Linked DNA regions of Oryctolagus cuniculus. The protein of the gene in region 5 interacts with the protein of the main gene of each other region in a pairwise test. Links are inferred from orthologs where the notes say so. Each region holds a gene or a part of one and is shown on either strand. Other genes may lie near its edges. The genes, in order: CDK1, STAT1, PTPN12, RAF1, EGFR, MAPK8 and FRK.

Evidence for each region.
Region 1: the proteins of EGFR (region 5) and CDK1 interact in binary tests that used the Homo sapiens proteins (3 or more experiments, as listed by UniProt). The link is inferred for Oryctolagus cuniculus from reciprocal best matches to the Homo sapiens genes EGFR and CDK1.
Region 2: the proteins of EGFR (region 5) and STAT1 interact in binary tests that used the Homo sapiens proteins (3 or more experiments, as listed by UniProt). The link is inferred for Oryctolagus cuniculus from reciprocal best matches to the Homo sapiens genes EGFR and STAT1.
Region 3: the proteins of EGFR (region 5) and PTPN12 interact in binary tests that used the Homo sapiens proteins (3 or more experiments, as listed by UniProt). The link is inferred for Oryctolagus cuniculus from reciprocal best matches to the Homo sapiens genes EGFR and PTPN12.
Region 4: the proteins of EGFR (region 5) and RAF1 interact in a protein complementation assay, tested with the Homo sapiens proteins (3 studies listed by BioGRID and IntAct, with this or other methods). The link is inferred for Oryctolagus cuniculus from reciprocal best matches to the Homo sapiens genes EGFR and RAF1.
Region 6: the proteins of EGFR (region 5) and MAPK8 interact in a protein complementation assay, tested with the Homo sapiens proteins (3 studies listed by BioGRID and IntAct, with this or other methods). The link is inferred for Oryctolagus cuniculus from reciprocal best matches to the Homo sapiens genes EGFR and MAPK8.
Region 7: the proteins of EGFR (region 5) and FRK interact in a protein complementation assay, tested with the Homo sapiens proteins (3 studies listed by BioGRID and IntAct, with this or other methods). The link is inferred for Oryctolagus cuniculus from reciprocal best matches to the Homo sapiens genes EGFR and FRK.

The regions. Positions count from the first base shown.
Region 1 is NC_091446.1:53,159,327-53,163,268, reverse strand, and holds the start of CDK1 (cyclin-dependent kinase 1), read right to left. Parts: upstream 2,801-3,942; 5' UTR 2,645-2,800; exon of another isoform or gene 2,447-2,644; intron 410-2,446; 5' UTR 385-409; coding exon 348-384; intron 1-347. UniProt on the Homo sapiens protein: Plays a key role in the control of the eukaryotic cell cycle by modulating the centrosome cycle as well as mitotic onset; promotes G2-M transition via association with multiple interphase cyclins.
Region 2 is NC_091434.1:49,297,924-49,301,423, forward strand, and holds part of STAT1 (signal transducer and activator of transcription 1-alpha/beta), read left to right. Parts: intron 1-2,359; 5' UTR 2,360-2,360; coding exon 2,361-2,488; intron 2,489-3,500. UniProt on the Homo sapiens protein: Signal transducer and transcription activator that mediates cellular responses to interferons (IFNs), cytokine KITLG/SCF and other cytokines and other growth factors.
Region 3 is NC_091434.1:142,131,530-142,133,836, forward strand, and holds the end of PTPN12 (tyrosine-protein phosphatase non-receptor type 12), read left to right. Parts: intron 1-323; coding exon 324-431; intron 432-948; coding exon 949-1,010; 3' UTR 1,011-1,807; downstream 1,808-2,307. UniProt on the Homo sapiens protein: Dephosphorylates a range of proteins, and thereby regulates cellular signaling cascades. Dephosphorylates cellular tyrosine kinases, such as ERBB2 and PTK2B/PYK2, and thereby regulates signaling via ERBB2 and PTK2B/PYK2.
Region 4 is NC_091441.1:114,678,497-114,681,280, reverse strand, and holds part of RAF1 (RAF proto-oncogene serine/threonine-protein kinase), read right to left. Parts: coding exon 2,687-2,784; intron 1,296-2,686; coding exon 1,249-1,295; intron 1-1,248. UniProt on the Homo sapiens protein: Serine/threonine-protein kinase that acts as a regulatory link between the membrane-associated Ras GTPases and the MAPK/ERK cascade, and this critical regulatory link functions as a switch determining cell fate decisions including proliferation, differentiation, apoptosis, survival and oncogenic transformation.
Region 5 is NC_091447.1:57,745,942-57,749,933, forward strand, and holds the start of EGFR (epidermal growth factor receptor), read left to right. Parts: upstream 1-1,192; 5' UTR 1,193-1,386; coding exon 1,387-1,474; intron 1,475-3,992. UniProt on the Homo sapiens protein: Receptor tyrosine kinase binding ligands of the EGF family and activating several signaling cascades to convert extracellular cues into appropriate cellular responses.
Region 6 is NC_091446.1:81,393,328-81,396,827, forward strand, and holds part of MAPK8 (mitogen-activated protein kinase 8), read left to right. Parts: intron 1-3,292; coding exon 3,293-3,351; intron 3,352-3,442; coding exon 3,443-3,500. UniProt on the Homo sapiens protein: Serine/threonine-protein kinase involved in various processes such as cell proliferation, differentiation, migration, transformation and programmed cell death.
Region 7 is NC_091436.1:55,225,748-55,229,247, forward strand, and holds part of FRK (tyrosine-protein kinase FRK), read left to right. Parts: intron 1-2,673; coding exon 2,674-2,839; intron 2,840-3,236; coding exon 3,237-3,448; 3' UTR 3,449-3,500. UniProt on the Homo sapiens protein: Non-receptor tyrosine-protein kinase that negatively regulates cell proliferation.

The DNA.
Region 1 (3,942 bases), on a different chromosome or scaffold from region 5:
CAACCATCTTGTGAGTACAATCATCTCCATTTGCAGGGGCAGAAACTGAGATCCAAGGACTTAACACTATCATAGTGTCTGAAAGAAAAGGGGTCTTGTGACTCCACTAAATGCCTGTAACATTAAATTTAAGATCATATTTTAACTGCTGTTTTTTCAGTATCAGAAATATGTAAGATTACAGAAGGAACGGAAAGGAAGGCCATCAGAGTATAATTTCAATTCTCTTTAACTGTTAATAGTAAAGAACATATACCACTGCACATTATTCCAATATTTACATGTCTCCATGATATAAATGATCATTTTTCTATTTTTAAAAAACCTGTATTTTTAAAATCACTCACCTTCTCCAATTTTCTCGATTTTGGTATAATCCTCCATAGTTAATCAGTAGGTATGGTAGATCCTAAAATGAGAGGAAAAATAGCTTTGATTATATGGCAATAACTCAAAGGTATAGTGCTTCCTGCAATGTATAGTTAAGTACTATAAACATTAGTTATTATGTTAAAATATTTACAAAGGTAAAGAAAAAGACTCCTGGAATAAGACTTTCCCATCTTGGGGCCGGCACTATGGCACAGTGGGTTAAAGCATCCCATATGGGCACTGGTTCTAGTCCCAGTTGCTCCTCTTCCAGTCCAGCTCTCTGCTATGGCCTGGGAGGGCAGTGGAGGATGGCCCAGGTGCTTGGGCCCTGCACCCGCATGGGAGACCTGGAGTAAGTTTCTGGCTCTGGATCAGCGCAGCTCCAGCCGTAGCGGCCATCTGGGGAGTGAACCAGCGGATATAAGACCTCTCTCTCTGTCTCTACCTCTCTCTGTAACTCTCTTTCAAGTAAATAAAAAAAATTAAAAAAAAAAGATTTTCCCATCCTTCTTAGCTCTAAAACATCGGAAATGCATATATTCCATGCTGATATTAGTATTTAAAATCTTCCAATCAAATTAATCCAAATTCAGACATCAACTTATTTACTCTTCTCAAACAAAAACCAGAATGTTTTTACAGTAGTACCAGTGTATAATGGGATTACACACAAATATTTCAACAAATGTTAAATGACTGAATTTGTACAGCTTTTGGGTGTTTTTACAAAGATGCTTCAAAACAAACTTTTTTTTAAAGTCATAAGAAGGAACTAAAATGGGGTGAGGTTATTTACCCATTAAGTTTTGTTTAAAGCTTTTAAAAAACATCTGTTTACACTTGCAAATAACAATCTTTCTCCTTTGTTTTCAGCAAACATGTGAGTTTGCATATATATATATTTTTTCCAAGAGAGGAAAATATATATATATATATTTGCAGAAGTAGGAAATAGCAGAGATACAAGAAAATGAAATTCCACAGTTCTAATGATCATAAAAGCTAGCAACTAATCCCTTAAGAAGTTCCATTTCTCATATTCATTGGCAAAGAAAAATCAATCCAAGAAGCGGTTTCGAAAAAAATTTTTAAACGAGCAGAGCTGCACTCCCGTGGTCATGAGTGCCACTCTTAGCCATTTATAATTTTACAAAATGGCAGTGGACGCTTCTCTTTGTCCTCAATGACCAGATTGAACATACCCACAGCACACAACTGAACTCGTTTGAACAAGTAGCTAAAAATCAACTCAAAGTTGGGCTCAATTACTCTCCCACCATTACCCAGTTATAATAATTATAATAAAGGAAGCTGCCCTGTATGCCTTTCGAATGTCTCCTGGGGCTCTGTACTACCAGCTGCAGATGTAAAAAAAAAAAATAAAATAAAATCAACGGTGACCCCCCCCCCACCTCCCTACCCAGAGACCTCCAGGTCTCAGGATATAAGAAGTGCACGGCGCAAACTGGCACTGGATTTTAAGAAACGACTCGTACTTATTAAAATGCAAAACGTGTTAATTTGCTCGGCATTTCTCAGCTTTCCGCTTTTTGCCAGCTCCACAATTAAAAAAAATAAATAAATAAAACCTCAGCCTTGTGCCTTAGCGTTCTTAAAAGCGCTGGGAGCGCGAGGGTCGCAGGCAGAGCCCAGCCCGGCCCGACAGGGCCGGGTTCACGCAGTCGCCTCACTCGCGGGAGTCTGCGCGTGTGAACTCGCTGGGTGCGCACCTGGCCCAGGTGCGGGCGGCTTCCCATCCCCCCGCCGGAAGCGGAGCGCGCGGGGCGCGGGGCCTGCGGCTGCGCCTGCCAGGCGGCGGGGGCTCAGCGTGCTCGACCCAACGCCTGGCTTTCTGCCTCCATCACCGCCCAGAGCCGTCTCAAGCGGGGTCGGCCACCCCCGCGGGCCGACTACGAGGCCGAGGGCAGCCCCAGCCCTCCCCAGGTAACCGCGCACGGAGGGGCGCCCCCCGGCCCCTCCGAAACCCAAGCCCCGGGCCGGGCTGAGCGCCCAGCCTGGCCCTGCACCCACCCCGGATCCCCAGCCTCCCCGAGAGCATGCCCTCCCTCCGTACTCGCCGCCCAAGGGAGACCCCAGGCCGGCCCCTGGAGAGAGGACGCCCGGCAGGCACGACCCCCGCCGCCCTGCAGTAACTCTACCCGGCTTGTTCTCTCCGCGGCGGCCGCGGCGCCAGATAACCACGTCCGCGAAGCTCTAAGCTCAACTTGCCAGAGCCAGCTTTGAAACTAAGTGCGAGCAGTTTCAAACTCACCGCGCTAAAGGGACCCAGACCCACCAATCACAGGGCTCGTAGACTTTCAAAGACACCAATCAGAGGCCGGCTGGGCTTGGGAGGGGCTTCCCGGGTAGCCAGAGCGCGAAAGAAAGAGGAAACGGCGGCTGGAAAAAAAGCAGGAGGGCGGGCGCCAACTGAATCAGAACGCAGGCGCCCTCTTGCATTCCAGGAAGGCGTCGTCCTCCTGTTTCTAGTCATCGGGAATGGATCGTTCGTTCTGTTTTGATTCTCTCCCTGTCTCGAGCAGTTTAACTTGATGGCACTCAAACAGCTCATCACACAAGTGAAACTGCACTTACATCGAGTTGCCAGAACTTCTAATACTTAGGGGTAGTGTATACTTAGGTTTTTCTAAGTGAGTGATGTGATTTCCAGGCTAGGCCAAAGGAGCATATTTACTAAAGAAATAATGAGAAACTCTCATGTCCACGAAAATGTCCACCAAAGTGTAAACAAAAATTTCCGATTTTAAATTTATATGCGTATGCATACATAGCTGTGGTTGTTTTTGACTCATCTATGAAACTTTTGAACTTACAGTTTTTTACCTAAATGTTTACGTAATGAAAACAATTTTAATTTGTTTTATTTGAGAAGGAGGGTTGGGGAGAGAGAGATCCTCCATCTGCGAGCCAGGAACTCAATCGGGTCTCCCACATCCATGGCAGGGGCCCAAGTACTTGAACCATATCTGTGACCCACCACAATTACATTAGCAGGAATTGGAAAGAGCAGAACAGGGACTGGGACCCAGGAACTCCCACGTGGAATGCAGGCATTTTAACTTCTGTGCCAAACACTGCCCCTATTTATTAGAAATTTAACAAAATTTTAATGTTTGAAATTTTCACAACAGAATTGTATACATTCTTTGTTTTTAAAAAAGATTTATTTATTTGAAAGGCAGAGTTACAGAGAGAGGAGAGATAGAGAAGAGAGATCTTCCATCCAGAGATTCACTCCCCAAATGGCCGCAGTGGCCAGGCCAATCCAGGAGCCAGGAGCTTATTCTGGGTCTCCCACATTGTGTACAGGGGCCCTAGGACCTGGGCCATCCTCTGTTGCTTTCCCGGGTGCATTAGCAGGGAGCTGGAGAGGAAGTGGAGCAGCTGGGACTAGAACTGATGCCCATATGGGATGCTGGCACTGCAGGCTGTGACTTTAACTCACTGTGCCACAGCCCCAACCCCCTTAAACATTCTTTTTTTTTTTTTTTAAGAATTATTTTATTTATTTGAAAGAGTTACAGAGAGAGGTAGAGACAGAGAGGTCTT
Region 2 (3,500 bases), on a different chromosome or scaffold from region 5:
AAGTTAAAAAAAAAAATCCATGTGCAGCACAGGCTGGATTGGGAACATGGTGGCAGCAGATCTTGGGACTAGAGAGGAAAGTGTCAGCCCCAAATTTGGGGTTGGGCCAGGAAATTGGAGGATGGTTATGCCACTCTGCTTTGGTAACAGGTTTTGAGGGAGATAAGATCGAGCCTGGGTTTGTTCATGTGAATTTATTGCTTCCCCTGCTCTGTGCCAGGTGTGGTGGGTGTACAAGCTCACCCAGCCTCTAGAACCAGCGTGTTGATAGGGAATAAGCTGCCAGGGTTCACTTGGCTAGTAAGAGGTTGCAGCCTCTACCGGGGGCCAGGCCCACATATTTGCTTTAGGGATATCCTTGGTAGACACCTAGCAGGCAGGGAGAGAGCCTCAGGTGTGGAGACTTCTGCTCAGGTAAAATACATCTGGAGCAAAAAATCAAATTGCCACAGCAGGTGTGCAAATGGGGTGGGCCCGGGTCCCTTTCTGCTGGTATTTGTGAGGTGAGTAGCTCTGTCGTCACTTGTGGGGTAGACAAGGCCTGGCGTTAGCACACTCAGGGACCTGTGTGCATCCACACTGATCCATGCCTTTCTGGAAACTGTGCACTCCTTCCCCCAGGCTCGGGCAGGACAAGGTTCACTGGTGTCCACTCTGAATGTTGCTAGCCAAAGGCTGCTATAAATCCTAAATTATATAATGGTCGTGTGAGGCTGTTCATTGTCCTAATGGATTTTAGGACTTCCTTAATCAGGCTTTTGTTGAAGTTTTTCTTCTTTAAGATTGAAGAGTAAAATTGACTTAACAGTTACCCAGAGAAATAAGTGTGACTTTGTCCCTTCGAATTACATTTGATAATGTTTGAGCCTTCAGAAATTATTAGTGAGGTCTAGGATTTCTTTTGTGCCAGCTTTATCGTTTGCTGTAGGCAGAGAACATATGTACTTCTAAGATGTTATAACGAAGATAATTTTACCATATGTGTTGGTTAGTTTTCTATTGCCATGATAAAACAATCAAGGCTCTGTCACTTATAAAGAAAGGAGGTTTATTTAACTCATGGTTTTGAAGGCTGGTAAGTCGAAACAATGTGGTGCCAGCTCCAGTGATGGCCCCTGGCTTGGCACATTTTGGTGGACGGCATCATGGTGGGAGTGCATGCAGCTGGTGCAATCACATGGCAAGACAAAAAGCCAGAGACACTGAAGAGGGAAAAGCCCTGCTGGGTTTTTTTTTTTTTTTTTAACTTAATTTAATTTTTATATTCTCTTGGGGGAACTAGCCAGAGTCCCATGAGAATTGCATCAGTTCCTTCTCAGGGAAGCACCCCTGACCCAATCGCCTTACACTAGGCCCCACTTCTTTTAAGTTCTATATGGTCCCCCAACATCATCATGCTGAGGACCAAGCTGCCAACACGCAGGAAACCCCAGGGGACACACTGGAACCATGGAGCAGAAAATGAGAGTGAAAAGTTCTTGGAGTAAATCACACATGTACTGTAATTTTGCTGGGGAACGATTTTTGGAGAGCTTTTGCAGTGATCATAAAGCAAAACTAAATAAAGTGTTGCATTTTTTGTTTGCTAAAAAGGCAGATTCATTTAAAATGTTTATTTTACTTACCAGCTATTTATTTATTTATATTTTTTACAATTTGCTTATCTGAAACTCAGACATAGAAAAAGATTCTCTATCCACTGATTCACTCCCCACATGCCTGCAGCCGTCAGTGCTGGGCCTAGCTGAAACCAGGAGCCTGAAACACAGTGCAGGTCTCCCGCACGAGGGGCAGGGTCACCGTCTGCTGCCTTCCAGGGCGCACATTTGTAGGAAGCTGGGGCTCCAATCCAGACGCTCCGGTGTGGGGTGCGGGTGTCCCAAGGACTGTCTTAACTGTTGTACCAAATGCCCGCCCCGGCTCATTTTAAAGTCTTTATGAGTACTTCGTATGTGTGCTCTGGAGATAAAACAGGGGACAAAGTCCTCTTCCCCCTAAAATCTTTTCCTTCATGTGGTCAAATCAGACCATAATCAAAATAATAAAGTACCTGGTGGGTCAGTGTATGCTGTGGAGGGTGGTTTCTTAGGCAGGAGGCGGTTGTGATGTAAATACGGTGGAGAGGGAAAGCTGTGTGTTGACATTTGAGCAAAGATCGGGAGATGTGTTTCCTGGAGAAGGAGAAAATGTTGATCCTCAAACTCAATTAAAAAAACGTGGTTTAGAATATAGGCATTTAAATGATATATTTCAGAGACAGATTGTGTATGGGGTTAAGATGTGTACAAGAGCGTGAAGAAAGAAGGCTTTCTTTAGAGCTGCAGTCTTCCGTCTGTGACACGTTGCTCTCTTCCTGCAGGATGTCTCAGTGGTATGAGCTTCAGCAGCTCGACTCTAAATTCCTGGAGCAGGTTCACCAGCTCTATGATGACAGTTTTCCCATGGAAATTCGACAGTACCTGGCACAGTGGCTAGAAAATCAGGACTGGTAAGGAGAACTCACTAGACAGGAACACGTCTATCTACACTCCAGAAGTACTTGGTGCAAGACGTTCCTAGTCATCAGGGAAATGCAGATCCAAGCCACAGTGGGATACTGCCTCCCTCCGGTTACCATAGCTATGATCAAAAAGACAAAGACAGCAAATGCTCATGGGGATGTGGAGAAAGGGAATCCTTGCACCATTGGTGGGAATGTAAATTAGCATGGCCATTATGGAAAACAGTATGGAGATTCCCCAAAAATCAAAAATAGAACCATAATATGATTCCACTACTAGGAATATATATCTAATTGAAAATGAAGTTAGTCTGCTGAAGAGATACCTGCAGTCTCATGTTTTATTGCAGCATAACTCACAATAGTGGAAACTTCTCAACTGAAGGATGGATAAAGAAAATGTGTCTAAACACGATGGAATACTATTCAGCCGTAGAAAGGAATGAAGTCTGTCATTTACAATAACCCAGATGGAACTAGGGGACAGTGATATTAAATGAAAGAATCCAGACACAAATACCATGATCTTGCTCATATGTGTCATCTAAAACTGATCTCATGGAAGTTGAGAATAGGATGGTGGTTACCAGAGACTGGCCAACAGATACTAAGTGTCAGTTAGGTAGGAGTAATAAATCCTGGTGTTCTGTTGCATAATGGGATGATTATAGGTAATAATGTACTGTGAACTCTAATAACAAAAAACCTAGAAGAAAAGATTTTGAATGTTTTGCCATGGAGAGGTGATAAATGTGTGAGGAGATGGATATACTTGATTGTGAGCATTACACAATGAATGCACACACTGAAATATTACTTGGTACACCATAACTACAACTACATACAATTTTATTTATCACTTAAATATATATATATAAAAATTTTAAAAATGTATTTGTTTATTAAATGAGTTGGAGCTAAATTTACACAAAGATAAATCTCATCAATGACCAGAGATTCCATCTGTCACATAAAAGTTTAAAAACTGGGGTTTGTCTCT
Region 3 (2,307 bases), on a different chromosome or scaffold from region 5:
TGAGAAAACAATGGAAGATGGCCCAAACTACCTGGGCCTCTACACCCACATAGGAGACCTAGATGGAGTTCCAAGCTCCTGGCTTTGAACTGACCCAGCCATGGCCGTTGCAGCCATTTAGGGAGTGAACCAGCAGGTGGAAGATCTCTTTCTCTCTGTCTCTTCCTGTTTCTCTAGAACCCTGCATTTCAAATAAATAAAGGTATCTTAAGAAAAAGAAAGCAGAACTTGTAATGCACTGCCCACATTAAAACAATGCCAGAGTTTTGAGTGTGCTGCTGCTAAGGATGGTGATTAACAAGGGCTTTGTTTCTGCATTTTAGATCATCTATCAGCAAGTATTCACACAGAATCTTGTGCAGAATGTCCACCTATTTTCAGTGACAAGAAAGATCAAATATCAGAAAGTCCATCAGAAGCCACAGATATCGGTAATTTGTTTAACGAATAATTTTTAAAAAGCAAAGCATGCAAGAATGAAAAAAAGTCACTTGCCATTGTTTCAAGTTTTTCATAAAATTTTTGACTTTGCTCTACTCAGGTTCTAATATGGTGTTTGCCAAAAATAAAATATGTCTGATTAAACTTGCTTGGAATTAATCCTGAAAGAAGTGAAACACTTAATTCTATTTCACACTGTGATTAAAAATCAAACTATAAAAAAATCCTTTTTGTTGGAAAATCTATGTATCTTACATGCTTTTCTTGTGTCATAAGATTGGTTGTATTTTTAGCATGATGTTAAAAGTAGCAATTATTTTCAAAATAAATTTACAATTATAAGTGTTTACAATTGTTTTGCATCTACCTACCAAGTGTTATTTGGTTCAAATTCTAAATTCTCATATAAAAATTTCTTTGTTCCTGAAAATGATAATGTCCACAGACTTGGAGTGTGAAAGTTTTTTCAAACACCAATCAGTTATTGTGGTATCTTTTTTTCTGTAGGTTTTGGTAATCGCTGTGGAAGACCTAAAGGACCAAGAGATCCTCCTTCAGAATGGACATGATTCAGGGAGCTAAAAGACACTTTAAATTATACTGGAAAATCCAAGTGCCACCAAAAGCCAGATTTATAGTATTCCATCTTTCAAATGTGGGACTAACAGCAGTGTAGGTTGTTACCTTAATATTTTTTGCTGGGACCATCTACCTGCCTTATACTACACTTAGGAAAAAGTATTACATATGGTTTTATTTTGTAACTTCAAGTATTATTGCCTTAATGTCTTTTAACCCTGTTACAACGCTGCTTGTAGACATGTTAATATAGTAATACTTTTATGATAAATTGACTTTAAGGACTACTCTTTTGCTGTTTTATCATGTATGCATTATTTTGTATATGTACAGGGCAAGTAGGTATATAACTTGATAAAGTTGCAGTCATAAAATATTATTAACAGAAGATGTAAGAAATTTCTGCATGGTCTAAATCTTTGTGTACTTTATTTGTAAATTATTTGCCCTGAAGTTTTAGAAAATAGTTTCTGAATTTTAAAATTGCTGGATTCATGCAGCCAGCATTGCAGGTTATCAGAGATCAAAGATTGTAATAATACATTTTGTAAATTGTAAGCAAAAAGTTATTTTTATATTATATACTGTCTAATTGTTCATCTTAATTGTCCTTGTTTTCAACTAGTCATGGAGATTCAGTAAGTGCCTTGGAACAATATTGAAGTCTCTTAGCTTGTGTGTGTTACTTTAATATTTGAACTCAACTGGGATTAGAAGACTATCAGATTATATGTATGTTTCAGAATATTTGACCTGCCATTAAAACAACAAAAACAATTTTACAGTGCCTATGTGTTGTCTTGGTTTTTTCATTCCCTATTCTTGGGAATTTAGACTTAATATCGGCTTCTTTGCTGGCTTGGTCCTTGCGATAAATGTGAATGGACTTTAATTTCTTTGTGCCTCCTGCAAAACAAACATGGCTTTTATCCTTGAGCCAAACCATTTTCCTCCTTATCATTATTAACCCACCATCAAATGTCCTGATAGAACACCCACCAAAGTGTGGTTAGGAAAACAGAACTGTTTCTTCCTACCTCTGCATATTAAAAAAAAAAATGAGAGAGAGTAACCTTATATTAATAGAATGGCATTGTTTTAAAGAAAAAAATAATACTATAACTTTGTGTTAGAATATTATCAAAGTTAAATACTTGGCAATGCCAGCATCCCATGGGTATCAGTTCGAGTCCCGGCTGCTCCATTTCTATCTAACCTGCTGCCTGCTCATGGTCTGGGAAAAGCAATGGAAGATGGCCCAAGTGGTCAAGCCTCTGTCACCCACGT
Region 4 (2,784 bases), on a different chromosome or scaffold from region 5:
CGTGCCTGCATTCTGTCCCCAAAGGATCAAATGAAATGTGAGTGTTAACAAAAAGAGCAAGTCCCTTACTGAATGTCGTCGTCACATTTCTCATCGGAATACGGAGCACGTGGTGACTTTGAAATTCAAACCACACTTGCTCCCTAACGGGTGCTCCTGTGACCTGCGGGTGCCAGGAGCTTATTCCCCAAACGTGTGGGAACTGCTTTCATGGTCAAGTTTGGCTGCCAGAAACACCCCATGTCTCACAGCTAACATAGGCCATGTCTCATGTTGTGACAACACAACCCCTACGCCTCTAGTTGGCCAAGAAGCCAAGAGCTGGGGAGGGTGGTGGACTTTACTGTTCAAAGTTATTCTCTGTAGCATGAAAAACACCTCTCTCCATGCTCCGTTCTATAAAAACACCTGGCAGAGACCACGGGTCTCCTCTAAAGAAACCGCCTCTGGATGTTGAAAACAGACAGCTGAATAATTTTGGCCATCTTGCAACTTTTAGCTCATAGCTGCTTTCTGACCAGATATACACTGTCCACCAACTAGAAATAAAATAAAGACAAAAGCCCAGTTAAATTTAGCAATAAACAGTATAATACTAGATTTTTTCAAGTTTAACCCAAACACGTATCTCAACTTGTGAGAATCTTTCCAGAGCAGACTTTCCCTCGGCATCACTCTGGGCACACCAAGGTACACCCTAACATTTCGTTTTTCGAAAGAAATTTCTTCCTGTCTTTTGCCTCTTTTTGTAATTAAAAAAAGAAAAAGAAAAAAGAAATCCCCTGCTCCAGGAGCCACTGGTGATCCAAAGGCTCCTGTTTCCCTACTTTAGAACTGAAGAGCTAGGGCTGGCATTGTGCCACAGCAGGTTAAAGCCCTGGCCTGCCACGCCAACATCCCATGTGGGTACTAGTTCAAGGCTCAGCTGCTCCACTTCCAATCCAGCTCTGTGCTGTGGCCTGAGAAAGCAGCGAAGGATGGCCCAAGTCCTTGGGGCTCTGCACCCACATAGGAAACCCAGAAGGAGCTCCCTGCTCCTGGCTTTGGATCAGCCCAGCTCTGGCTGTTACAGCAGATTTGGGGAGTGAACCCATGGATGGAAGACCTCTCTCTCTCTCTCTCTCTCTCTCCCTCCCTCTCTCTGTGTCTACTTCTCTCTGTAGCTCTGTGTTTCAGATAAATAAATCTCTAAAAACACAAACAAACAAAAACTGACACATCAAACTAAACCCAGCAACCAAAGGATACTGTTGGATTTCATGTCTCTGTGAATGATATTCTTTGCATGCAAGTAGCTGTGAAAGGAAAATAAATTTTTAAAAGCAGTTTGTGGGACGTGGGTAGAAAGCCATTTCTAACTGCAGCTTAAGAGGCAAAGCCACTGGAAAGCTTGCAGGTCCCCAGGGAGGTGTCACTACAGGCCCTGGTCCTGTGCCAGCTCAGCCCAATCCACACCTCGAAGGTGAGGCCACCGTACAGACGCGCTCGGACTCCTCTAAAGCACCAGTTTGACTCAGGTAGTTCTGACAAGCCCAGAAAGGAAGCCGTCACTGACGTGGCTCCACCAACCATGTACGCAGCTGTGTATCTCCAAGCGAGATCTCCAGATCCACTTACAGGAAATGCACGACAGGTAAGATCCACAGAGACGAGCCAGACTGTCGGCTGGGGATGACTGCTGAGGGTACAGCTTTCTGGGCTGATGAAAATATTCTCAAGTGCGCGACGATGGCTACACAGCTCTCCATTTAGTGTAAAACCACAGAGCTGTATACTTCTTCAAAGGGTGAGTTTTATGGTATGTGAATTATGGTCCAAGTATATTTTCTCTAAAGTAATCCCGGCGAGTTATTTCTTAAGAGATACTGGAGGCAGAGGCTGGTGCAGCAGGCTAAGCTGCTGCTGGCAATGCTGGCATCCTCTAGAGGAGGGCAGGTTCAAGTCCCAGCTGTCCCCCTCCAGATCCAGCTCCCTGCTAATACGCCTGGGAGACCCAGTGGAGTTCCGGACTGCTGTGGCCATTGGGGGAACGACCCCAGAAATGGACGATCTGTCTCTCCCTCTCTTACTCTGCCTTAATACATACATAAGTAAATAAGTCTTTAAAAACATATGCAGAGAAGGCAGCTTCCCTCTGAATTTTAAACTACAACGTGGGAATCTGTGAGCCCCGCAAGCGCCGGTGCTGACCGGCTCAGGCCTCTGTGCACAGGAATCCCTGCAGAGCTCTGTGACGCGCTGGCGGGGCGGCCAGGGAAGCACACGCTCGTGCACGTGCACATGGCTCCCACTCAAGCATGGGTCCTGCAGCACAGAGGGGGCAGGCAAGCCCTTCACTGCTTCTCTACAAGGAAGAGAACCTAGAAAGTGACACCCGCTCAAACCCGCCTGTGGGAGGGCCGTGCCCCAGACGCGCAGCAGGGACCTGGCACACTGCCCCGGCAGGAGGGACGCGCCCCCGCACGTTCTCAGTCTCAGGCTGAAACACAGGTAACAGCAAGAGCCCGAACGTGCGCCTCCAGGAGGCAGCCTAGCTTAGGTGAGGAACCCGAACTTCTCACTCCTGGTCACTCCAGCCCAGGGACCGTTTTCAGTTGTGCGCGGTCGTTGCAGAATCACTTGTGGCCTTAGAAGGCTTTTCTGACTCTGGGACAAGTGAATGCTTGGCACCAGGCCATCTACTCACTCCATGCCTTGTGCTGTCTGGCGGGCGATGTCAATTAACTGGAACATCTGGAACTTGGTCTCCTGGACGTGCAGATGTTTATAGAGGCTGCTGCCCTC
Region 5 (3,992 bases):
GTTTCCACGGACTTCTGCCACCGTTCCTGGAAGAGCTCTCCCCAGCACCACGGAGGAATGTGGTGGGGGCCCAGAAGGTCTCACACTTTGTCTTTTTTTGGGGTACTCAGGATAAATCGCTGCACTTTTAAAAGTCAGTCGAGGGTCACATGGACACCACGATTTGTGCCACCAATCATCCTGGCGGGCAGCGAGTGTGCCTAGGGTTCGTCCGTGGCTCCTGTAGCGGAACGCAGGATCACGGGTGCCCTTCTGTTTCCTGGCTCCTCTTCTAGCTTTTGTCTCTAGCTTTTGTATTTGCGTTTCTTTGCAGCCTGCTCTAAGTCTTCTGGTTTGGAATGTGGGCTGGGAACCAAACACACGGCTGGCTGTGGACTTCACAGCCTTGCTCACCCGGGGCAGCCGCGATTCCTCAGAACAAAGAACAAGCCAGCCGCTCACTCTGGTTCCCCGCAAACCCCACCTTTCCCGCGGCCGGGCGGGGCGCAAACCCGCAGAGCAGGGAAGCGCTGAAGAAGCCCTGGAGCCGAGGCGGGGTGCCCTCGGCCCAAGGGTTCAGAGAAAGTCCCCGCAGCTCCAGGAAGCTCCACTTCCTGTGGCCAAATCCTCAGTGACTCTTGCTGGCGTCTGCGGTGCTGTGCGCGACCGACATCCTCGGCCCTCGCTCCCGGAGCCAGTCCCTGGCACAGTGGAGGCCGTGGGCGCACCGGGACCTCACGCATTCACTCAAGGAACGCAAAGGAAAGCCGCTCTCCCAGCGGGGAGCCGAGCGCGCTCGTTCCCAACGACTTCGAGGGCGCTCAGGGGGCCCCTAGGGGCCCCAGCCGCCCGTCTGGGTCTGGCTCTGCTGGGGACTCTTGCCCCGGGGCCCCAGCGGCCCCTCTGCGTGGTCACCCACCTCGGCCCTCGGGCTCAGCCGGTTTGTCCGGAGCCTGCTCCAGGTGGCTCCGTCTACAGAAGGGGCCGGTGAGGGGACCAGGCCCGGCTGCGCCCCGCGCTGGGAACCGACCCGGCCTGGGGTCGCGGCGCGCGGAACGCCCCTCTCGGGAACTCGCTCCCGGCGCCAGGTCCCGCGGGGCCGCGGCGTCCACGCCTCCGCTCGCCGCTCTTCCTCCCGCTCGCATTCTCCTCCTCCTCCGCGCCTCCGACCCCTCCTCCTCCGCTGGGCCCTCCTCCCGCCGCCTCCCCACGCCCGCCGCCCGGCAGACGTCTGGGCAGCTCGGCGCAGCGCGGCAGCCGCTCCTCACCCGCCGCCCGGAGTCCCCGAGGCCAGGCGCGGGCGTCCCAGGCCGGACCCAGGCGGGACTCAGGCGCCCGCGTCTGCCCCGCGCACGGAGCCCGACGCCCTTCCGAACCGACCGCACAGTTGAGCGCGCAGCGGCAGCGATGCGACCCTCGGGGCCGGTCGGGCCCGCGCTCCTGGCGCTGCTGGCCGCGCTCCTGCAGGCGGGACAGGCGCTGGAGGAGAAGAGAGGTAAGGGCGCGACCCGCACCACACCGCGCCGCGGTCTTCCCGACTTCCGTGAGGACCCTCGGGCTGAAACCGCTCTGGACGTCTAGCTCCTGGGCTGCGCGAGTCGCACCAGGGGAGCTCCGGCGCCGAGCGCTGCCCAAGCTGCTCCATACCCGGCACGTGCGCCCCGCGCAGTCCGCGCACCCATGGGCGGTGCGTCCCACCCGCGGCCCTGGGAGTTTAGGTTGGATCCGGGAGCTGCGCGCACCTTCCGGGACTGGCGCTTCCCGAGCGCACCCTCCCCGCGCCGGCCCCACCCGGTCCCGGGCTGCAACCAGAGGCCCCGCGAGCCCTTCCCGCGTGAGGGGCTGCGGCCGGAGCGGGGGCTGGAGGACTCCTGTCGCCCACCACGCGAGGCTGCTGGGCCGGGACGGCGCGGGGAACTGGGGCTGGGGTCCTGTCCGGCACGCCCCTGGCGCGCAGTCCCCGCCCCGCGCCGAGCGGCCGGGTGCGGCCGGGCCAGGTGCTTGGCGGCGCGGCGAACCCGGCCCCCACCTGCGTGCTTGCTCCGCAGGACTGGCTGGGCGGCGGGTCTCGGCTCCGAGCCCGCCCTGCGCGTCCCCCACGGTTTTCTCAAAGTCCCAAGATTTTCTCCTTTTTGGCGTTTCCTTTTGCTTTCTGAAAAGTTTGATATTGGGCCAACCAAAATATTAAACTGTATCAAAACCAGGAAAGGATGCGGTCCGGGCCCCACGTGCGCGAAGGCCCCGCGGAGTGGGCCTCGCCGCGAGACGCCCGCCGCGGGAGGCCGCGTTGCACAATCCCCGGCTGGGCCGGCTTCCGAGAGAGTCAGGTCCCTGCTTGCCGTTGATGTCATCGGCCTCGGGTCTGGGCTCTGGCGCCGGGCGCGTCTGCGGGCCAGGGGTGCTGCGGCGGCCCCAAACTTCGCTGCAGGTGGGAATCACCTGGGACTGAAAAACGAAAATAGTAATAAACAACGAACTGGAAAAGAGGGGAGAGGGCGAGGGGAGGTTGAGGCGGGGGAGAGGAAGCGAGGACCACGTCCGGCTCCCGCTCACGGATACCCCGATTTAATTGGTGTGGGGTGAGAGCCGGCCTTGGGTTTTAACAGCTCGGGCAGGCTTGCGAGTCCTGGCGTGGAGGAAAGAAGGGCGAAGTGTCCAGAAGGCTCACCCGCTAGCCGTGGAGCTTCCCCCAATCTGCGCAGCTCTCGCAGAGCGCCGCGAAGGCAGGGCTTGGCCAAGGGGGCTCTGAGGCCCCCGGTGCGCGGCTCCGGTACACCGAGTGCTCAGTGCCTTCTCACCCCAGAAGTGCGCCCAGCTCCTAAGTGGGGCTGCCTCCCCGCTGCCGCCGTGGTGGGAGATTTGTTTCTTGTTTGCCCTGTGTTCGCCAGTGCTGTGGTGAGAAAGGGCGCGCACGCTCCGTTAACATGAGGCAGAGAGACTGGCGAGGATCTAATTACTAAAACTGCGAGGCATAATCTTCCTATAGAAGTTGTTAAGGACCCATGTCAATCACGTGCCAATTCCATTCCAGGAGAATTGGTGAGGGTTTTTTGGGTCTCAGCTAGGAAACCGGTATTGGCTGCCCTCAGATCTAACAACCAGACCTGGCTCCTGCGTCCTCACCTCCTTCCTCATTTTCCCGCCCTGCAGGAGAAGATCGATTTCCCCACCGCTCACAAGAGGCAGGGTCAGGGCTGAGACGCCACTGCCTTCTGCAGCCCAGGTGTGGGGAGCCAGGTCAGGTGTACGCGGCTGACTCACCTCACTTGCAGCACAGAGGAAAAGTACCAGGAACGGCTCATCAAGTTGGGCTCCCCTCCTGAGGCTGCAAACACACCCTGCTAACCAGTGGTCTGCTCTCCTCAGGGTTCCTCAGCCTGGTGGGGACAGCTCTGTCACCAAATCCCTGAGCCAAGCTTGCTAGGGGAGTTGAACAAGGCCTGGATCCTCGCTCCAGGGAAGGCACTGCTGAGGAGGAGGTCCTGGGGTGTTCCCAGGAGCTCAGGAATTCTCAGCCACAAGCTTCTTGTGGGGATGAGCCTGGCCACCCCTGGTTCAGTGGGCCTGGGCCGTGTTAAAGAGAAACCAAAGCAGAGGTGGTAGGGAATCCAAGACGAAGGATGGGATGCCCCGGCTGGCCTGGCAGCCGGCCTTGTCTTCTCACTCCAGCTGCGGGTGGAGGTGAACAGGTCACATCCAAGCGCCAAGCTTCTCGATCCCCTTTCTGAGTTCAGTATTTGTGAATTCAGTATTCACTGTGCGTGCCTGGTATCATGAGTTAAAAGGGAGGAGAGTTATGACAGCTACTGGAAATGGGATTCTGCAAGTCGCTAAATACTAGTAAATTTCCTTTTTACTCTTTCAGAGTCTTGTCTATCGCACAGACAGGCAGAAACCTGGTGATAGCTCCAGCCGGCTCTGAACAGTCATTTCTGGCTTCATGCATTTGGTTTCATAATCCATCGTTTTTCACAAACCTTTCTCTGGTGTTTGAAGAAGCCAGCTGCCAAAAT
Region 6 (3,500 bases), on a different chromosome or scaffold from region 5:
TTCTCAGTTTTGGGGCTGTTCAGCATGAAGCTTCCTAGTAAAAGCTCTCTCTCTGACTTGCAGCGGCCATCTTCTCACTTTGTGCTCATGTGGCCTTTGCTTGCTGAGTGCTTATAGAAAAAAAGAAAGATCTCTCTCAGAAGGCCACTAATCCCACTTAGAGGGCCTACTTCCATAAATTCATCCGAACAATCATCTGTCAGAGGCCCCATCTCCAGTCATTGTTATGCTGGGAGATAGGACCTCAGTGTAGGAATCTGGGGGAAGATAACCCTTCAATCTGACACTGGTGTTAGAGCAATTATAGTATGAACAGTGTAAAGGAGATGTTAGAATCCTCGGCCTGTATGGTAGCCTAGGCATTAGAAAACAGAGATTGAAATTGAGGCTGATGGTAGAGTAAATAGCATTCCTTGGAATATTTGTTATGGTGCAGGATACTGAAAAAGGAGTTAAAAATCACCAAGCCTTCTATTATAAAAGAGAGGACACACTGGAATAGTGAAGGGTTTGAATAGGAATGAATGAGTAAATTATGTATTTTGTGAGACATCCATGTAAACTAGCAATGTATATCTGGCACTCAGAAGCTAAGCAAAGGGGCAGGCACTGTAATGTAGCAGGTAAAGCCACCACCTGCAGTGCCCGCATCCCATATGGGCCTTGGTGCAAATCCCAGCTGCTCCACTTCTGATCCAGCTCCCTGCTAATGTGCCTGAGAAAGCAGCGGAAGGTGGCCCAAATGCTCAGGCTCCTGTACCCCCGTGGAAGACCTGAAAGAAGCGCCAGGCTTCTGGTCGGCCCAGCTCCAGCTGTTGCAGCCATTTGGGGAGTGAAACAGCGGATGGAAGACACACCCCTCTGCCTCTGCCTCTCTAACTCTGCCTTTCAAATAAATAAATAAATCTTTAAAAAACAAAGAAGCAGCAGCTAAGCAAAGACTCCAGATGCATATTCGGGAATTATCCATATGGAGATGTTTGGAGAAAAAGATGTGCAGGGAAAGGGCCCAGCCAGAACAGGATTAAAGACAGTAGTGGGAGAGAGTATGCGTGAGGATGAACCAGGGAAATAGACCTTGGAACAAAGAAAATGGAACAGGAACAGTATTATGAAGAGCAAGGGGAGGAAAATGCCAAGATTACAGTAGTTCCCTCCATCTGTGGTTTTGCTTTTCACAATTTCAGGTACTCAACAGTCCTTGTGGCCCAAGAATATTATGTGGAAAATTTCAGAAATAAAAATTTGCAAGTTTTAAATTGTGTGCTATTCTAAGAACAGTTATGAAATCTCGCACTGTCCTGGTGTGTTTGATACCAGACATGAATCCTCCCTTTGTGCATTGTGACTATGCCGTATGCCTCTTAGTCCTTAAGTAGCCATTTCAGTTGTCCGTTCACTGTCATCGTGTCACAGTGTTTCTGTTCACTAGGTAGTAGCCTAATACAGTGTCACAGTGCCTTTGTCAGTTTCCTCATCTCATCTCATCACATGGACATCGTACTGTTTCACATCACAAACAGGAAGGTGAGGGGCCGGCACTGTGGCTCAGAAAGTTAAGCTGCTGTGTGGAATACCAACCCATATGAGCACTGGTTCCAGTCCCGGCTGCTCTACTTCTGATCCAGCTCCTTGCCAATATGCCTGGGAAAGCAGTGGAAGACGGCCCAAGTCCTTAGACACCTGCCACCCACGTGGAAGACCAGGGTGAAGTTCCTGACTCCTGGTTTTGGCTCAGCCCAGACCCAGCCATTGCAGCCATTTGGAAGTGAGCTAGTAGATGGAAGATCTCCCTCTTTCTTTGTCTCTCCCTCTCTCTGTGTCACTCTGTGTCTCAAATGAACAAAATTTTTTTTTTTTAAGATTTATTCATTTTATTTGAGAGAGTTACAAACAGAGGGAGAAAGAGACAGGTCTTCATTCACTGGTTCACTTCCCAAATGGCCATAAACAGCCAGAGCTGGGCCGATCCATAGCCAGAAGCCAGAAACTGCCTCCGGATTCTCCACGTGAGTGAAGGGGCCCAAACACTTGAGCCATCTTCCACTGCTTTCCCAGGCTATAGGCAGGGAGCTGGATTGGAAAAGAAGCAGCCAGGACACAAACTGGTGCCCATATGGGATGCCAGCACCGCAGGCAGAGTCTTAACCTACTGTGCCACAGTGCTGGTCCCAATTAATAATAAATCTTTGAAAAGAAAAAGACGAGTGTAATACAATAAATATTTTAAGGAACCACACTGACATAAGTGTTTTAATATACTTTATTAAATTCATGGTTCCGTTTTATTAATAGTTATTGTTTTAGGCTCTTAGTGTGTCTAATTTGCAAGTTAAGCTTCATGATAGACATGTATAGATAGGAAAAAGAATAGTATAGGGTTCCACACCGTCTGTGGTTTCAGACATACACCGAGGACACAGATCTGCTGGTTGAAGAGCTGCAGCGGGTTTTTAAGATTTACTGAAAACTGTGTAGAGGTTTGTGTAATGTAAGTGCTTGACACTTGTGTGTTTATAAATGGAATGGGTTATATGAAATTATGATGTTGATAAGGTTTTTTAAAAAGCATTTTAGAGCAGTTTTAGCTTCACAACAAAATTGAGAGGAACATACAGAGAGTGTCCGTGTCTCCCCTGCTCCCCAGCATGCACAGTCTCCCAAAGAATCGGCACCCCCCACCAGAGTGGTGTGTGTGTTACAGCTGATCCTCCCTGACACTGTATCAGAGTCTGCAGCTCATGCTAGGGTTCATTCTTGATGGGGCATATTTTATGATTTGAACCAACATAAAATGAGGTATTCACCTCTATGGTATTGTCTGCTTTTTCATTTCTTCCTTCCCCACTCCCCTCCCCTAGCCGTGAATGTTTTAGTGTATAAAATAAAAGAAGGGTGGGTGTTGTGGTACAGCAGATTAAACTGCCACACGAGACACCCACATCCCATACCAGAGTGCATGGTTTGAGTCTTGGCTACTCTGTCACTCTTCTTCTAATCTGGCTCCCTGCTAATTCACAACCCCAAGTCGTTGAGTCCCAGCCACTCACATGGGAGCCTGGTAGCTCCTGTCTTCAGCCTGACATTGTGGGAGTGAACTAGGGGATCAAATATAGCACTCTCTCTGCCTTTCAAATCAATAAAAATAAATAGGTATTTAAAAATAAAAGGTTACTTGAGCTTATAAAATTTTAGTGATTATAGTGGTGGCTTTTTATAAAACTGTATTTGCAGTTTGCAAATGAAAATGTTATGAAGTGGTTTCTAATTTTTCTGTTTGTTTTCTCCACAGATAATTGGCCTTTTGAATGTTTTTACACCACAGAAATCTCTAGAAGAATTTCAAGATGTGTAAGTGTGTCAATTAAAATTGTATTATGTTAGTACATTATTCTTAGATTGATTTGTACACTTTAGCTGTCATCTTTTTCCACCCATGAAGTTACATAGTCATGGAGCTCATGGATGCGAATCTTTGCCAAGTGATTCAGATGGAACTA
Region 7 (3,500 bases), on a different chromosome or scaffold from region 5:
AGCTTTGCAGGGTATAGTATCTGGGTTGACAGTTTTTTTTTTTTCTCTTAAGACTTGGAATATATCTTGCCATTCTCTCCTAGCCTGTAGGGTTTCTGATGAGAAATCAGCTGTCAATCTGAATGGAGATCCTCTGAAGGTAATCTGGCATTACTCTTGTGCACATTTTAGAATCGTTTCTTTATGCCTTACTGTTAAAAGCTTGAAACAGTGCTTCATGGTGAAGACCTTTTCTAATCAAGTCTATTATGAGTTCTGTGAGTTTCATATTTGGATGTGCCTTTCTTCTTCAAATTAGGGGTATTTTCTGTTATTATTTCACTGAATATGTATTCTAATATGTTCTATTTTTCTACACCTTTCAGGAACTCCTAAGACATATATGTTAGATTGTTTTATATTAACACATAAAACTTGAGTGCTGTTTTCAATTTTTCTCATTTTTTCTTTGCCTGACTGAGATATTTCCAAAGGTTTGTCTTCAAGCTCAGATATTCTTTTTTCTGCCTCATCAAATTTGTTGTTAAGGATTCCCAATGTATTTTTATTTGACACATTGAATTCTTAATTTCTAATATTTCAATTCAATTTCTCTTCAATATCTCCATCTCATGGGAAATTTTTTTCCATGTCATGTCGGAATTTATTTTAGTCATGAATTTGCTTCTTACTTGTTTTGAGTAATATTTTGATTGGTTTTCCAAGTTCCTTTTCAGGCATACCCTGAAATGACCTGATGCATGTCACCAATCTCTTCATCTTCACATTCTAATATTGAAGAGTTGTGTTCCTTTGGGATAGGCATATTGTCTTCCTTGTTCGTGTTTCTCATGTTTGTACTGTTATTTTTAGACATTTGTGGAACTGCTTGTTTTTCTCCTCTGATGACTTTATCTTTGGTTCTGTGAATCAGTAGAATGTTCCTTCAGTGCATCTTCAGAGGCATGTGCTGGGTGGGGCCAGGGAGCTCTGGTCAGTGCTTGGGGTGGTTCTAAAGTCCGGGTTGAAATTTATGTTGTGTATGGTAGATCTTTATTGCCAGTAAAGGGGAGGGTATGCTAAATTTGGAATCATTGCCTCACTTCCTCTTTGCTGAGGTGATCAATGCCCAGGGCCAGCCCACAGTGGCTACACATCCCACACATGCATTCACAAGAAACACTTAAAATATCTCTGTGGTTTTCAGTGTGAGCATTGAATCCTCTGCAGCAGCCTACCTCAGCAGTTAGGGAACTCTGAACCTCTGGACCCAGACAGAGATCACCCAAAGACCTAGCTACACTCCACACCCAATTGTGCAGTGGCAGAACTCCTAAAGCCATAGAGTACAGGGCTCCTACCGTCACAGGGAGTAGGGAATCCACTCTCAACCCTATGAGGCTGCTCTGTCCTTGGAGAGAGATATTTTCTCAGGTCCAGATGCCTTCAGTGTTCTGCTTTGCAGTTTGAGTACATGCATCAGTGATATGGAGGGAGGTAAGTGCTTACAGGCTTAAGTGGGCTCTCTGCCCCCTGCCAAACCTCTGTCCCAGACTCAAAGTCAATGGAGACCACTGAATTATCCCTCAGATAAAGTCCCCTATCACCTGTAAGTAAGCCAAGGCAGCCTATACTCATCTTTTAAAATGACACTTCCTCCCTGCTATTTGCCTGGAGCCCTTATACGGGAGGAGAAGAATGGGAAGCAGGCAATGTGTTCTCACATAATAGGTTTAGGTGGGCACCCTGCCCCTCACTATTGCTCCAGAGAAGACTGAAAGTGCTTGTGGTCCACAAGGTCCTCTCTCAGGCAACATCACTAATGACATGGGCTGCCATAGTCTCCTCCCATTTCTCTTTAAGAAAATCCTTATTTCTTCCACAAAGAAGAAAACAGGAAATCATAAGCAACCGTATTATAAATTATGTTATTGTTTATGGTTGAATTAGTGATCTGTTTTCACTTAGTACCATCCTTTGTCTTCCTTTATTTTCTTTATAAAAGCACTACAATTTTTATAGTTACCCTATCCACCTTGGCTCACTTTATGCCAGGCTATATGCATGCTGACAATCTCAAAGCAAGTATAGACTGTTTCATTCTCTCCAGCCCATTTTGTAATATCTTTCCAAAACATACTGATAGAGAGACACAATATGAGGTTTTTCTCTGAATTTAATTTTGAAATCCACATTGTACCCTAAAAATATGGATATGGGGCATGAAACACAAGTATGATTCCCTTTTGATCATCATGAATTCATCATCTTTTTAAAATTAATTAGAACACCAGTGAGTTGATATATTAATTTAAATCATTTAGATTCTACTTTTCAGTATTAGCAAGTGGTTACATGGTAATTATCAAAGTCAGAGGGTCTTCAATACCAGCGGTAAATCAAAAAGCAGACTCTGCTTCCTTTTTTTTATTTGTGAAAAGACTAGATATGAATCCAGGATTATCATGTGAGAACTCTGCCATATGTTGTAGAGTGCTCCTGTGAGTGCTATTCTTAGCACACAGTAGGCTCTCAAATATTTTATCAATTTGGTATTGTATGCCAGATTCAGAATTTACTATTGTAATTATCAATTGAACTAAATTTTAATGTGCAGTAGGTTGTGAATGAATGAGAATAGCAAGAAAAAAAATCATCACATTATCTTGGCTTGATTCCTTAATGTACTAACAGGTAGATAATGAAGATATCTATGAATCTAAACATGAAATAAAGCTGCCGGTGAAGTGGACTGCACCTGAAGCCATTCGTTCTAATAAATTCAGCATTAAGTCCGATGTGTGGTCATTTGGAATCCTTCTTTATGAAATCATTACTTATGGCAAAATGCCTTATAGTGGTGAGTAATTAATTCTGAAGTGGGCCTTTCTGCTGCAGGTCACTTATTTAGGTGTGACTTTAACTGCTTTGTCCAGACTTAGAGGGCAGAGTTATGACGCTGACCATAGCATGTACCTGTGGGAGCCTGAAAGATAAAATTTGATGATGATAATTTGCATTAATGAGGTGGTTTATTGCTTCCTTCTCCTTTGCTCTTGAATTGCAGTCTTATAGACATTACTTGCTTCAGGATTTAGTTTAATCTCTGCAACCTGGGAAGGTGGTATTAGACCTCATAGCTCTGCGAAAGAAAATGATGTGCTTTATAATCTAGAGTACTCATAGGAATCTATGAATTTAAGACTTTGATCTTTAACTTTTTTTCTTATTTTTGATTCAATTCTGTATTTTTTTAGGCATGACAGGTGCTCAGGTAATCCAGTTGTTGAGTCAAAACTATAGACTCCCACAACCATCTAACTGTCCAGAGCAATTCTACAACATCATGTTGGAGTGCTGGAATGCAGAGCCAAAGGAACGACCGACATTTGAGACATTGCATTGGAAGCTTGAGGACTATTTTGAAACAGACTCTTCATATTCAGATACAAATAACTTCATAAGTTGAACACTGAAGAACATCAAATAATGAAGTAGTAAAAAATGGAATAATCAATTCA